2 linked regions of the Tamandua tetradactyla genome follow. The protein of the gene in region 2 purifies or fractionates together with the protein of the main gene of each other region. This does not show direct contact. Links are inferred from orthologs where the notes say so. Each region holds a gene or a part of one and is shown on either strand. Other genes may lie near its edges.

Evidence for each region.
Region 1: the proteins of DACH1 (region 2) and JUN purify together in Homo sapiens (affinity purification with western blotting; 3 studies listed by BioGRID and IntAct, with this or other methods). This does not show direct contact. The link is inferred for Tamandua tetradactyla from reciprocal best matches to the Homo sapiens genes DACH1 and JUN.

The regions. Positions count from the first base shown.
Region 1 is NC_135328.1:162,050,109-162,057,486, forward strand, and holds JUN (transcription factor Jun), read left to right. Parts: upstream 1-4,372; 5' UTR 4,373-5,373; coding exon 5,374-6,375; 3' UTR 6,376-7,134; downstream 7,135-7,378. UniProt on the Homo sapiens protein: Transcription factor that recognizes and binds to the AP-1 consensus motif 5'-TGA[GC]TCA-3'.
Region 2 is NC_135330.1:138,971,683-138,979,679, reverse strand, and holds the start of DACH1 (dachshund homolog 1), read left to right. Parts: upstream 1-4,981; 5' UTR 4,982-5,210; coding exon 5,211-6,049; intron 6,050-7,997. UniProt on the Homo sapiens protein: Transcription factor that is involved in regulation of organogenesis. Seems to be a regulator of SIX1, SIX6 and probably SIX5.

The DNA of each region.
Region 1 (7,378 bases), on a different chromosome or scaffold from region 2:
GCCACTGAGTTTTTTTAAGAGTTCATTATGGCAGTATAATCTAGCCTATTTTAACTGATAAAAACAGGCACCTAGACATAGGGAAATGCAAAAACAACAGTATACACAACAACAAAACTAAAGATTCATTTACAGGGCAATAATTAAGAACATTGTTATCAGAGGATGAAAGGATGACGATCCAATTGACAAACGTATCACTGTGATAACTAAGATGGCAGATCAAGAACCTACCCAACAAAAGCAAGAAGCTGTAAACCAGAATGTTAGTAGCATCTGTTGGTTGCTGTTGGGCACTTTTAGAAAGTTATTATAAAAATAAAAATAATAATTTCAAAAAATCAAACAAAAAAAATTCAACAAATGGTGCTGCAATAACAGGATACTCACATGGAAAAAGAATGAAATGTGACCACTGCCACACAGCATACCAAAAAAACAGAAAAGCTAGAAAGTAAGGGCCAATTAAAGAAGGCCTGGATATAAGAATTGATCAAGGGGAGGGCCTTCAAATTTATTGTTAACACCTCTGGATAAGATGTGTTAAGATGCTACACAGCACATATTTTCAATTGGACAAAATGGCTCAGGAAAAGGGAGAAAAGGTATGACTCTCCCATTGAAGCCCAATAAGCCCAAAGCATTCAAAATCAAGTTCAGGGTGGGAGAAATGAGAGCAAGAAAACTGAAAAAAATGTGACAAACCACAGAACTTAGAAACATGTTTAGAAAAAAATAGTGGCTGAGCTATTAGCACATGGAATACCTGGAATCAAAAAGGTAAGAAACATAATACATTTCTGAGAGTTGTACTGCGAAAAGAATGTGAGACTGGATTCAAGTTTGGGGATTCAATATCCCCCAAATATTACAATTTTATTTAAAAGCCTATTTTCCAATGCCTACATAGAAAGCAAGACTCTCTCAAAGGGCAAAGCCAGGGGTCACAGAAAACAACAGACAGGGCAGATATACTCATGGAGTGATACCAGAGTCTAATTAGGGTACTGGATAGAGAAGTCCTCCAAATGTCTGCACAGTGGACCAATATCTGCTGTGGTCTCTGAATTCTTCCCTTTCCAAATGGGAGTGTTGGCTGCAGCTGTACTGTCTCTGTCCCACGATTACATTTTGAGGTGTGGAGGATAAGTATCTTGCCCTTAGATGAAGAGGAGTTACATGTGAATCTGATGTAAACTCTACTACCAGCACCAGAAATCCTGGACAGTGAGCTTAATGCTGAAAATGGATGGTTCTGGTTATCTCCCTTGAGGAAGAGTGAGGGAGTTTTTCCTGTGGAAGGAGAGTAAGCCAAACATTTTGTGAACAGAAAGGGAGACTTACAGAACATTAACATTCCCCAAATATTCCTGGCTCTCTCCCTTCAATACACCTGGCAGGATTACACAGATTTAAAGTTAGGCATGCTCATGTAACTTGCTTTGGCCAATGATATGTGTCCCTTCCAGGTGAATGCTCTGAGAGCCACTGACTGATATGCCTCATTTTCTCCCCCTAGCCAAGGTAGTTGTAAGAAGCATGTATCGAGATGAAGCTCCTTCCTTAAGTGACTCCTTAAGTGATTATAGGGGCAGAATCCCCTGAAAACCCACGTCGGACATGGAACATGAGCAGGAAATAAACTCCCATTGTGTTAACCCACTGAGATGTTAAGGTTGCTTGTTATAGCTTTCCTGACTGATGCTGGGAGTGAAAGATGAGACTGGAGAGAGCAGGAGAATAAATTATGAAGGGCCCCTTCTGCCAGGCAAAGGAGTCAGAACTCTCCTATAAGAAGGCAATGAAGATTTCCAAGCAGGGGCGTTAACATGAACAGATTTGTTATTTTTTGGATAAAATACACTATTTCTCAACAGAAGGAGAAAATCAGCCTACTAAACCACATAAGGCAGGGAGGAACATACAGAATCTTCAGGAAAAAAGGTATATACCCAAATTCCTAAGTTTTGGAATTTCTAAATAAGGGAGCTGAACGGAGTCTCTGAAAGGAGTTACAAATCAGAGGATCAGGCGAGACAATTTCTCCTATCCTACAAACTCCATTTTCTCTGCAGACAACTAATATTTCACAAGAAAGTTTGCCAGAGCCAAGAAGATAACAGGGAATATTAATTTCCAGCTCCCTGTATGACTTAGCAAGATACTTAAACTCTCTGAATTTACTTCCTTATATGTCAAATACAGATAATAATAATTATACATATTATATATATTATATCAGTATACACATATATCAAGATGGTTGTAGGGAGAAAACAGCACATTTAAATTGCCCGAAAAATGGTAAGTGTTTAAAATATGAAAATTATTCTTATTGTTATTGTAAAAATTACTAAGAACACAAGTTTTCTGATTACAACAAAAAAATGATTATGGACAACAAAACAAAGAATGAGCCTCCTTCAAGGAAGGAACTGGATCTTGTCACCCCTGTATACCTACACACTCCTCCTCACTGTACCCCAGCCTCAGTGGGCCTGACTCACAGTAGCCACTGTTATCCTCTGCGGCATGAGTGAATGAGAAGTGAGCGCCCAGAGTGAAGAAAAATTGGCAGATTTCCCACTGACACCACACCAGCTGCTGTTTTACTGTTGATTCTGAAGTCTCAAAGCCACAAATACCTTAAGGCTGGAGATTATGAACTCAAGACAGAATTCCCCCAATCTCAGAGGAGAAAAACCAGAATTAGACCCTAGGAACTTAAACTGCTTCAATTTCAAGCCCCAGTCTCAGACAGAAGACCTGATAAAGAACTGATTTGTAAACCTTTCCTCCCTCACCCCTTCACTCACCACCTCCCATTACTGCTCCTCACAAGAAAGTGGACTTGTACTGCCAAATCAAACTCTCCTAACCTGGCATTTCATCCACTTCCTAAAAGGCTCGGGGAAACTTCCAGGAAGGGGGCTATGGAGGGACCAACTCCCTAGGCCTGGAAGCTATGATGCTACGTTGACTCCGGGTAGCCGAATGAGGTAGATGGGTCCCACTCGCAGTTGAGGGACCTGAAGTACCGAGTTCAGTGCTTTGCTTCATTTCACAATATAGCAGCCCTGAGCCACGAGAGAACCCACGATTCCGGATTTCGGTATTCTTTACACCACTCACTTCTGCCCATAAAGGGGGGGGGGGGCGGTGGGGGAGAGATGGGGGTGGGGAGAAATCAAATTACAGAAAAAAGAGCCACTTACATGTGTCTAGCGCTTCCTAGAGGCTGCACAGAACTTGGGCCCACCACCCGGCAGGGAGCAGAGATTCTGAATACTAGTTCTACCCCTAAGGCGTTGCGTGACTATTGCTAAGTCTCTGCCACTCTTGAGACTTGGTTTCCCGGAAGCAAATCCGAGCCGGAGTGGTGAATGTATCGTGGACAGACGATCACCCGGGTTCCCCGAGTTTCGGATTTCCTAAACAAACGCTCGTTCCCAACTGGACGCTGAGTTTGCCCCAACCCTACCTCATATAAAAACCTCCCCTCTGAGGCAAAGCTATAACCCCCCGCACGCTCTCCCTTAGGAGACTTAGGGGGTAGAGGATGAAATGGGGTGCAGCGGAGACTTGGCGGGGCGCCCAGTTTCAAGCAATGCAAATCATTCGGGTCTAGGCACAGCCAGACGGCGGCGAGAACTGTCGCTCCTGAACTCGACCAAGACAAACTTCGGAGCGTTCTCAATGGAGGGTGTTGACTCCCAACACACCGCCCCTAAACTGAAGCGCACTTTCACTCGCCCCACGGGAGACTTTACAGAACCACCTTAAGGGCTGCGTTCCCGCCCTCCGGAAGTGCGGGGGTGGGGCACAGACGCGGGCTGCCAGCCTCCTGGTCCCGCGAGGTAGAGAAATGTCCGTAGGTGACTTCGAGCCGCGACCCCGCAGTGGGAAAATGCCACCGCCCACACACCCTCGGTCCCAGACTACTGGTCCGGTTCCCCAGCCTTCCGGGTCCCCGCATCCCGTGCATCCCTGTCGCGAGCCCTGAACTTGAGCCTGCCTCTGTCAGAAGGTGCGAGCGTCAGCTCCCGTCCGCCCGCTCGCGGCGGCCACCGTCACTGGACAGTCAAACCCCAAGACGTCAGCCCACAATGCATCGGGCGGGTTGGGGAGAGGCGGGTGAAGAGAGGCGAGATCGCGCGGGAGGGGGAGGGGGAAAGGAGGAGAAAGAAGGGCCCAACTGTAGGAGGGCAGCGGAGCATTACCTCATCCCGTGAGCCTCCGCGAGCCCAGAGAAGAATCTTCTAGGGTGGGGTCTCCATAGCGACAGGCGGGCCCGCCCCCCAGAGAGCGACGCAAGCCAATGGGAAGGCCTCGGGGTGACATCATGGGCTATTTTTAGGGGTTGACTGGTAGCAGATAAGTGTTGAGCTGCGAGCTGGATAAGGGCTCAGAGTTGCACTGAGTGTGGCTGAAGCAGCGAGGCGGGAGTGGAGGTGCGCCGACTGGGGTAGACAGACAGATAGACACAGTCAGTCAGTCAGAACGGCAGTGGAGCCCGACCTGCAAGTCTTATTTTCTTTTCCATTTCCTTACTCACTGCCCAGAGCTAGAGCCTGTGGCTCCGGGCTGGTGTTTGGGGAGCGCCGGGAGAGCCCCTTCTCCAGCCGCCCCCGGGAGGAGAGCCCCGCTGCCCAGGCACTGACTGCCGCGGAGAGCGACGACTGCCTGGGGAAGTCCAGCGAGTGGCTGCAGCGGCAAGGAAGTTTCCCGACCGGGAGAGAGAACAAGTACCGCAGGTCCGGGAGAGAACTTTTGCAAACCTTTCCTCCGCCTTAAGCTGCCGCGGCGGCGGTAAAGAAGGCGGCGGCGGCGGAGTGAGGAGAGAGAAGAGGGACGTGCACCCCAGCTTCGCTCTCACGCGTTGCTGAACTTGGGCGAGCGCGAGCCGCGGCTGCCGAGCGGTCCCCCCTCCCCCTGGTAGCGGAGGAGGGGACAGTCGTCGGAGTCGGGGCGGCCGAGACCTGTCGCCGGCCGGCCACTGCGGGGTCCGAGCTGACCAGCGCCTCCGGGAGAGCCGGTGTCCCCGAGAAGCGAGTCCGTCTGCGGAATCCGAGGAACCTTTACGCCAGACAAGCGCTCAGTGAGTGACCGCGACTTTTCAAAGCCGGGCAGCGCGCGCGAACAGACAAGTAAGAAAGAGTGCAGGCGGCACTTAACCCTGAGTTCCCTGGAGCGAGCCGGTGAGGAGGGCGCCTAGGGGAGGACAGCCCGCGGGTGTGCGCACTCTTAGAGAAACTTTGCTTGCCCAAGGCCCGGGGAGGCGCGGGTGTTCCCCGTTTGTCCGCGCGCTGTTGCGGCCCCCAAAACTTCTGCGCGCAGCCCAGACTAACCCCACTTCAAGCGACGGACTGTTCTATGACTGCAAAGATGGAAACAACCTTCTACGACGATGCCCTCAACGCCTCGTTCCTCCAGTCTGAGAGCGGCGCCTACGGCTACAGTAACCCCAAGATCCTGAAGCAGAGCATGACCCTGAACCTGGCCGATCCTGTGGGCAGCCTGAAGCCGCACCTCCGCGCCAAGAACTCGGACCTCCTCACCTCTCCCGACGTGGGGCTCCTCAAACTGGCGTCTCCCGAACTGGAGCGTCTGATAATCCAGTCTAGCAACGGGCATATCACCACCACACCGACCCCCACCCAGTTCCTGTGCCCCAAGAACGTGACCGACGAGCAGGAGGGCTTCGCCGAGGGCTTCGTGCGCGCCCTGGCCGAACTGCACAGCCAGAACACTCTGCCCAGCGTCACGTCCGCGGCACAGCCGGTCAGCGGGGCGGGCCTGGTGGCCCCGGCGGTGGCTTCCGTGGCGGGCGGCAGTGGCAGCGGCGGCTTCAGCGCCAGCCTGCACAGCGAGCCGCCGGTCTACGCCAACCTCAGCAACTTCAACCCCGGCGCGCTGAGCAGCGGCGGCGGGGCGCCCTCCTACGGCGCCGGCAGCCTGGCCTTCCCCGCGCAGCCCCAGCAGCAACAACCGCCTCAGCCGCCACACCACCTGCCCCAGCAGATCCCGGTGCAACACCCGCGGCTGCAGGCCCTGAAGGAGGAGCCGCAGACGGTCCCCGAGATGCCTGGGGAGACGCCGCCCCTGTCCCCCATTGACATGGAGTCACAGGAGCGGATCAAGGCGGAGAGGAAGCGCATGAGGAACCGTATCGCTGCCTCCAAGTGCCGGAAAAGGAAGTTGGAGAGGATCGCCCGGCTGGAGGAAAAAGTGAAAACCTTGAAAGCGCAGAACTCGGAGCTGGCGTCCACGGCTAACATGCTCAGGGAACAGGTGGCACAGCTTAAACAGAAAGTCATGAACCACGTTAACAGTGGGTGCCAACTCATGCTAACTCAACAGTTGCAAACGTTTTGAGGAGAGACTGTCGGGGGTTGAGGGGAAACGGAGAAAAAAAATGACACGGAGGGACGGACTTGAGAACTTGACAAGTTGCGAGAGAGAGAAAAAAGAAGTGTCCGAGGACTAAAGCCAAGGGTATCCAAGTTGGACTGGGTTGCGTCCTGACGGCGCCCCCAGTGTGCACGAGTGGGAAGGACTTGGCGCGCCCTGCCTTGGTGTGGAGCCAAGGAGCGGCCGCCTGCGGGCTGCCCAGCTTTGCGGACCGGCTGTACCCGCGCGAACAGAACGTTAAACTTTTCTTTAACATTGACCAAGAACTGCATGGACCTAACATTCGATCTCATTCAGTATTACAAGGGGGGAGGGGGAGGGACAGGGATTACAAACTTCAATAGAGACTGTAGATTGCTTCTGTAGTACTCTTTAAGAACACAAAGGGGGGTGGGGCGGGGAGGGGAGGCGGGAGGACGGTTTGTAGAGAGGGAGGCTGAGCCAACAGATGAACTCTTTCTGGCCTGCCTTCATTAACTGTGTATGTACATATATATTTTTTAATTTGATGAAAGCTGATTACTGTCAATAAACAGCTTCATGCCTTTGTAAGTTATTTCATGTTTGTTTGTTTGGGTATCCTACCCATTGTTGTTTGTAAATAAGAGATTTGGAGCACTCTGAGTTTACCATTTGTAATAAAATATATAATTTTTTTATGTTTTGTTTCTGAAAATTCCAGAAAGGATATTTAAGAAAATACAATAAAATATTGAAAAAGTATCCTCCACCTCTTTTCTGCATTATCTGTAGATTAATAATGAGTGGAGTTGAAAGAGTTAAGAGTGTCAAAATCTCAGAGCTTCTTACTATCAAGCAGTAAAAACTACTCTCTACTGGACTTTAGAAATGTAGCTGATGCTCTCCTCAAGTTACATTATTGCCTCCCCCCAACTATCTATGTAGGATTGCTCACCAAAGGATAGTGTGGTCTTTCAGGTTGCTTTAAAGTTTGTATCAAGTGGCA
Region 2 (7,997 bases):
TGAGCCATCAAAAGCCAGAAGTTGGAACACTAAGCAAGGAGGGGTAAGGAAGTCTTTGCTTAAGGTAGTTGAGGTTTATCTGCTAAGTTGATTGGTGAGGCCGTGCATCTGAGTTAAAAAGGCTTGAGAGAGTTACTTGGCATAATTTCTCCATCTTCAATGATTTACTACTGAAGTGCAAACATCAATTTTGGACTCTCTCCTGAGAAACGTTTAACAAAGTCAGTGAACTACTGGTACCTTGATATCTTTCTAGATTTGCCAAACTTTGATAGCTCTTTAATAAACCTATGCCTGGAGTTTATCTCTGTCTTTTTTTTTTTTTCTATTAAGGAAACAGATCTACTAGTAAATAGGCAGATGTAAAAATGATCTTCCTCTTTATTTCTCCATTGTGATATATATATCTTAGAATTGTTCAGAAGTGCACTCTATTGTTAAAGCTATTTGTGCCGGGTGTGCTAATGCACTCTTTGATTGAGTGAATTAGCAGTCATAACAATCTGGCAGTCTGGCCATAGAAGTGTGCTCAAATTGATTTGTGTTATGGCTGGACTGGAAAATCTAGTGTTAGTTGTTTTTTGCCCTGGGGCATTGTTTGTACCAAACTCCACTTTTCATTTAATTTTCCAATACATTTCGAAAGATTGAAATGCTTGTGATCAACATTTGATCCAGTTGCATTATTTAAAAAAAAAAAATGTGAAAGTAATTTCAGATTCCAAAAAACCTTGCTTTCAATTAGAGTAAACATAATTAGAGTGACGTCGTGCTCAGAATGGTAAATCTCCCATTGAATCTATTAAACATGTTATCTCCTTGTCCTGTCACTGAAAATAATTCAGTATATATCCGGAATGTACATCTGTATTTTTCTGTGCATGTTTCTAACACAACTTGGGGGGGGGAATTAAAATAATAAAATACTAATGAATCTTTTCTTGTTGCCCTTTCTGCATGTGTCTAAACTGTTTCTGTTTCAGTTAATGATGCTGTAAGAAAAGGATACTTAAAGCTTTTGGGAAAATTTGAGATATTCAAGAAACATGTTTGGATATATTGCCTTTAGGTTACTCGATCATTTTAGTTTTTTACATGCTAGGAAAGCTGCGTTTTCAATCTTTTTTTTTTTTCCTTTTTAAGTAACACTATTAATTACTATATTGAGACCCTGAAGATTTAAAGAAATGACTTATCCTGGCTTTGTCAATATTTGTATCTTTCTTACAATCTTCTGCTTTGCAGGCATTTACCAGAATTATAATGCAGCATGAATAAACCTTAAAACTGACTATTGATTACAGAGCAAGCTTTGCAAAATCATTTAGTCAGTTTCCCCACCTGAGAAATCAGTGAATAAAATAGGTCAATAGATAAGGATAGAATGGATGTAATACAGTGCTATACTTGCTTGGGTTATAAAAAGGGTCAACAATAAGTCACCACAGAATTCATGTTTTTACACTCAATAAAATAAAATGATACTTACCAAATTCCAACTATAAGCCCATCTTTCTAAGGATCTATTCTTCTTTCTTTTAACCTTAGGCTTTGTAAGTATGCTTTTATGTTGTCCTAATTTCAACAGAAGCATTTCCTTGTCATTTCCCCTTTTAACCATTTAGGATGCCCTTATCATCGGACTAAAGTGCTTGTTGTCATCCAGGTATTCACCATGACTTTAGCTGCAACAGCTACTTTGTATTTTCTTACTGTCTCCTGCAACCTTGCAGCTCTTCTCAAACCTGCATTTCAGAATGTACTGAACTCTATCCTGTGCCGATTTTTAAGTAATAGATGGTGAGACCTGAGACCACTCTCTCTTAGTTTCCATCATTCGGTTATCGTCTGGGGGAAGGGAGGGGAGGGGCTAGGAGGGAGGGAAGAAAATACCTTCCCTTAACTGGTACAAGCTCAGCTTCAAACGATATCCTAGGAAAGAAATTAAAGACTTCTTAATTAGTGCAGCAATTAAGCTTTCTTGGTAGCATTTTAATCAGCACAGGCCCTATCAAAGGACAAACAGAACGATTTGCAGGTCTTTGAATTTTAAACAGTCTTATTGATTTCAGCACAATGCATCTTCACAAAACACAAGGAGAATTTTCTAATATCCGTTACAGTACTTTGAGTTTTGCTTATGCAAATTGAGTGAATGCTGGGGAAGGTGAGATGGAGGGAGAGGACCTGAAGCAACTAGATGTAAAATAATAAACAAACAAGACAAAACCCCTGAAAGCTATAGATGCAATGGAAAAGAGTGAAGATTTGAAATCTTTCTTGAGTTGATTTATCTGCTGTTGTTAAATACTTTTTGTCTTAATCATTGGTAACATTTCTCAAAGGAAAAAGAAAAAGAAACCCTGAAGATTCTCAAGGCTTTTCTTTCTTAAATCCTTTCATTTATATTATGCTTTTTTTTCTAATGCTATTGCTTGATCAAAGGGGTAAGTGGTGGTTCCTTGAAATGGTTTATAGACCTAAGGTCTTTTAAACTCCCATAGCTTCTGACTAAGCACGTGCTGGGAGGCACAGGTTTCCCTGCAGTGTAAAATTTGGAGTTTGCTTCGAAGCAGGGTGGGATTATGGTCTGGTCTGTTATCATTACTTCCTGTCTGTGGTTTACAAATGTGGCAGGTATTGGGTAAATGATAATTTAAGGAAATATGATAAATAAGAATGGTAAGGCAGATTTTCAGCATTTAGTTTCCATTTTTTCCCCAAATGTGGGTCTAGAATTTAAACAAGCTGTAGTTTAACGTTTTAGAATTATGTCAGAGTTTTAATAAAGTTGTGCTTGTGATTCCAACATAAGATTAATTTTTCAAGGCTCAATACATGGCAATTTGAGATTATTTTTTAAAAAGATAGTATTTTCTAAAATGTGTATAAATGCTTAAGGAAGTGTTTCGATGGTATATGTTATAAATTGAATCATACTTTTTAATTGAGGACAGAGAAGTGGACTGAAAAATTAATATATATTATTTCTGAATATATTAAAATACATTGGCTAACCTCGTCCAAACAATTGTGTGAACTTTAGTTACACTTCTAGATGCTATTCTACTTTCCTGCAACAACCAATTTTCTGAAATCTTAGATCCCAGAAAAGCCTCCTGATATAACTGCTATGCCCCAAAAAGTTTAGCATAAAACGTAGACAAATTAGTCATGTCATATCTTTCTGTAGATATTTCCTGTAGTTTTTGACACTAAACTTCAAAAGGTTTAAGGAGTTAAAATGATAGAGTTACATGATCATAATTTCAACACCAAATGGCAGAAATTTCATTATGAAATCTCCCAGCACTGTGAATCTGCTGCTAATAGTGTATATTAAATATCTGTCAAATGCTAAAGCATTGTTTAATATCTTGTGTTACTGAACATGTGTAGACAGATTCAAAGCCTAATTATTTAAGATTTCTAGAGATACAAGCAGGGAACAGATTTGACCTATGCTCAAATCATATTTTCGTAAGAAATCCTTGAATAAAATAACACATGCAACAGGTTAGAAAAGAAAGGGAGAGAGGAAAGAAAGGAAGAAGTCAGTCTGAACTCAGCCAAATACTGTTTGTTAAATATAGCTTCCCTTTCTGCCTTTACAAATCAGTTAGTTAGCATTGTTTTTGCTTTCATTAGTTACAAAACACATTTTCACGATATAGTAAGAAGGGATTCCCAAAATATATTGATACTTTTCAATTATGGGGAGAAAAAAAAACTTGTATCATTCAAACAGCACACTGGCAACTACCCTTGGGTCTTAAAGGATAAGGGTTATTGGTTACTGTGCAATACAGGTAAATTAAGCTTAGAATTTTGGGTAAGAAAAACCGGCGTGTTCTTGTTTTCTACTTTTTAAATCTTCAAGGATGTCTCATCTGTTTGGATTGTCATGGCCTAACAGACACTCCTGATCTGCTTTTGAGCCAAAGTGAAGTTATTCTGAACGATCCACATCGTGGAAAGCATTTCTTTCTTTCCACAATCTATAAAGAAATAAAGAATTAAACACAGCGTGTTTCATTATTCTTAAGCAATTTCGGACTTTTTCCCCCCGCAACTTTAAAACTGTCCAATCTGGAATTTCCACTATCTTTATACAAAATAATGTAACAGATAAACAAGCAGATGCATAAAACATACGTTTTGCTTACTTTTCCTCAAATTAATTTCTTAATGATTATGCAGTGAGGGGATGTGTTTCCATTTATATCACGGTGCAAGAACGCGAGGAGATATGTCCTAAATCCTTTAAGAAGAGCTCGGAGCCTTCTGGCTCCTCTTTAAGTTGGGAGGCGATTGCTTAGAAGCTTTAGAAGAAAACTACGAGCCGTCGCGGACGAAACGGAACACAGACATGCAATCTAACGGTAGTAGAAGAGAAGGAAGAGGCAGACAGATGATCTCCCTCTGTTTTCCGAGCGCCACTTCTGAGTCCCTGGCTTGTTCTCTTCGTCCCTCCCACAGTTTCTTTCCTTTTCCCCCTTCTGCCCCCTCCCCCCTCCTCCTTTTCTCGCACGCACGCACACACACACACACACACACACACACACTCTCTCTCTCTCTCTCTCTCTCTCTCTCTGTCTCGCGCTCTCGGAGTCTTCTCCGAGTCCTGGTTGGATAATTTGGGTTAATACTAGTGAGTGAGGTTTTTGCGGCTTCAAAGGGTATTTCAAGTTTCCGGAGCTCCTCCCCTCTGCACCGTGTGACAACAACAACTCGTCCAGCCGGCAGCCTGCACTTTTCAGCTCATTTTCTCTCTGTCATTCACCTCTCAATCTTTGATCAATGTACTTGCCAGGGAGAACGCAAGTCCTTCAAACCTCCTCCTTTTCACCTTCATCCTTAACTTTGTGCTAGAGCGGGACCCACACAACAACAGCCGACCCTCCCCGCCCCCGCCCGCCCCCCCAAACCAGCCCCCGATCCCAGCCCCCGGAGAGGACTCGCATTTCGACTTGCGGGACACTTTTGTGCGTTTCTCTCCAGAGCGCCTCTCGCGCTCGCCCCTCCTGCGCTCGCTCTTTCTCACCTCTTCTCTAGCCTTCGTTCTCCCTTCTCCTCTGGTTCTCTCCTAGAGTTGTTGTTGCCCCCTCGCTCCTGCTCCCCACCCCCTCCCCCTGTTTTTCCTTCCCCTCCCCGGGGTTTGTGGCAACTTTTCCCCTCGCTTCTCCTCCTGTTTCCCCTTATATGTGACCATGGCAGTGCCGGCGGCTTTGATCCCTCCGACCCAGCTGGTCCCCCCTCAACCCCCGATCTCCACGTCTGCTTCCTCCTCCGGCACCACCACCTCCACCTCGTCGGCGACCTCGTCTCCGGCTCCGTCCATCGGGCCCCCGGCGTCCTCAGGGCCAACTCTGTTCCGGCCGGAGCCCATCGCGTCGGCGGCGGCGGCCACAGTCACCTCCACCGGCGGCGGCGGCGGCGGCAGCGGAGGCGGCGGCGGCAGCGGCGGCAACGGAGGCGGCGGCGGCGGCGGCGGCGGCAACTGCAACCCCAGCTTGGCGGCGGCGAGCGGCAGCGGCTGCAGTGGCGGTGGCAGCATTAGTGCTGGCGGCGGCGGCGCCTCCAGCACCCCCATCAACGCCAACACCGGCAGCAACAGCAGCAGCAGCAGTAGCAGCAGTAGCAGCAGCAGCAGCAGCAGCAGCAGCAGCAGTAGCAGCAGCAGCAGCAGCTGCGGCCCCCTCCCCGGAAAACCCGTGTACTCGACCCCGTCCCCAGTGGAAAACACCCCCCAGAATAATGAGTGCAAAATGGTGGATCTGAGGGGGGCCAAAGTAGCTTCTTTCACGGTGGAGGGCTGCGAGCTGATCTGCCTGCCCCAGGCTTTCGACCTGTTCCTGAAGCACTTGGTGGGGGGCTTGCACACGGTCTACACCAAGCTGAAGAGGCTGGAGATCACGCCGGTGGTGTGTAATGTGGAACAGGTTCGCATCCTGAGGGGACTGGGCGCCATTCAGCCCGGAGTGAACCGCTGCAAACTCATCTCCAGGAAGGACTTCGAGACCCTCTACAATGACTGCACCAACGCCAGGTAAAGAACCGGGGGGTAGCCTCCGCCGCTCGCGGCCCCTTCCCGCCCGCCTGCTCGCCCTTCCCTGGCTCCCTAATCGGCGCCGCTCGCTCCGCGCGCCCGCGAGCCGCGCGCCCTGGTGAGCGCAGCCCTCTCCTCCCCTTCCTCCGGGCTCGCCAGCCGCGCCCGAGCGCCTGAGAAGTTGGCACCTCACCCTGCCCAGATCTCGCTCTTCGGGCCCGAGCCACCCTTCGCTGGCCAGGGCTTGGCGGCTGTGGGACGCGCGCACCCCCGACCCTTGGGCCGGAGGGGGCGGGAAGGGGGAGAGGGCGCCTTTCCGGGAGCCACAGCTTCTTTCCGGACGCGCTGGCGTCTGGAGACCCCTCTCCGCGCTGCCGCCGCGTGTGAGCTCCCCGCGACCCGGCTTCCGCGGCGAGCCTCGGGCCCAGGCAGGCTTCGTCGGAGGCGCCGAACGGCGTACGGAGGGCTGGGAGGTCGTCACTAGGCTGGGCTGGGTTCGAAGGGCAGGGCGTCACGCTCCGAGTGAGGGGCTGGCGGACAAGCCGAGCGATTGGACCAAGAGCCGGGGAGGGCACTTCGAGGTCGTGAGGGGAGCGACTTCGGAAGCCGTGAGGCGCGAGGCAGTCCCTGGGCACCCGCAGCCACTTCAACCCCAAAACCCGGAGGGGAAGCCCGCCGAGGGGAGGGGTCTGTGTGTGCGCGCATGTGTGCTGTGCGTGTGTACGCGTGTGAGGTGTGCCTGTGCGTGTGCAAAGGAAATAAAGGGTGTCGTTTGCCCCGGGGCAGAAGCGAGGGCACCAGCAGGTGTCCTTTAAGGGGAGATGACCATGGGGTACTCAAGACTCTTGCAAGCCGCGCTGAAGACGTGGGGAAGAAAGAGGACAGCGGTCTCTCTCCAATTTTATTATTCTTTCTTTCTTTCTTTTTAAAAGGTTGCCAGTAGCTCTAGCAATCGAGCAGGTGCAAGCTTTGCACTGGGAGGCTCTCAGGGGTCTGAGTCCTCCGTGTGGTCGCTTCCCGACCCGCGGAGCGCGCGCGGGGCAGAGACCGCAGGATTGATTCTCCGGCGAGACCAGTTTATGCTAATGAACGCGCTGTGGGGGAGGATCTACCGAGAGGGGGCGGAAGTGGGGCAACTTGTCAGTTTCGGGGTAGAAATGATCTTTCCACCCTTTTACACTTCCTCCTGTCCCCATCGTTCGCTCCTGGGAATCTCAGAGGAAAAAAAAATTAAGATCTCACAGGAGAAAGTGAGGAGGAAAGTTGGAGCCTTGGAGCAAACGGGTGGGACCTGGGCGCAAAATTTGCGGGGACACTCCCTTGCTCTTCAAATCAGATTAAAGACCCAGAGAGTGAACTGTTTTACTCTTTCAGGGTCCGTGTTCCTAGTAAAGCTAGGGTAACAGAGGTGGAAAGGAAAGAGGATTAAAACGACACCAGAAGGAAACCAGGTGAAAAAGCCCCGGGCTATTTTTTACCTTGAAGGGAGATTCCCACCTAGTGCCCAGGAAAGCTGTAAAGATGAAAGACTCCAACTCCGACCCACCAAATGTCCCATCGGAACAATCCAGAAACTTTGTTTCCCGATTTATTTGCTATTCTTTGCAAATAGGGTATGGGTGTGTGTTTGGGCTTTGAACTCGCATTTTTACTATTTTGGGGGTGGATGCTGAGTGTATGTGTATGTGCGCGCGCGCGCGTGGGTTTGCGGTGGCAGTAAAGATCGAGAGGCAATCTTTGTTAGTAATCATTTACTCAGATAATTGGAGTCCTTGGACAACCAGAAGATATTTGCAAAAAAAAAAAAAAAACTATTAAAACTACTCGAATCAGGAAGGAAAACGATTACAGGATAGTTAGAAAGAACGCTAGTTAAAATCTAAGGCCAGTTCAGATATGGTTGTTATAAAATCTTCTACCTATCCAGTAAATTGGTGAAGTGCTCTTT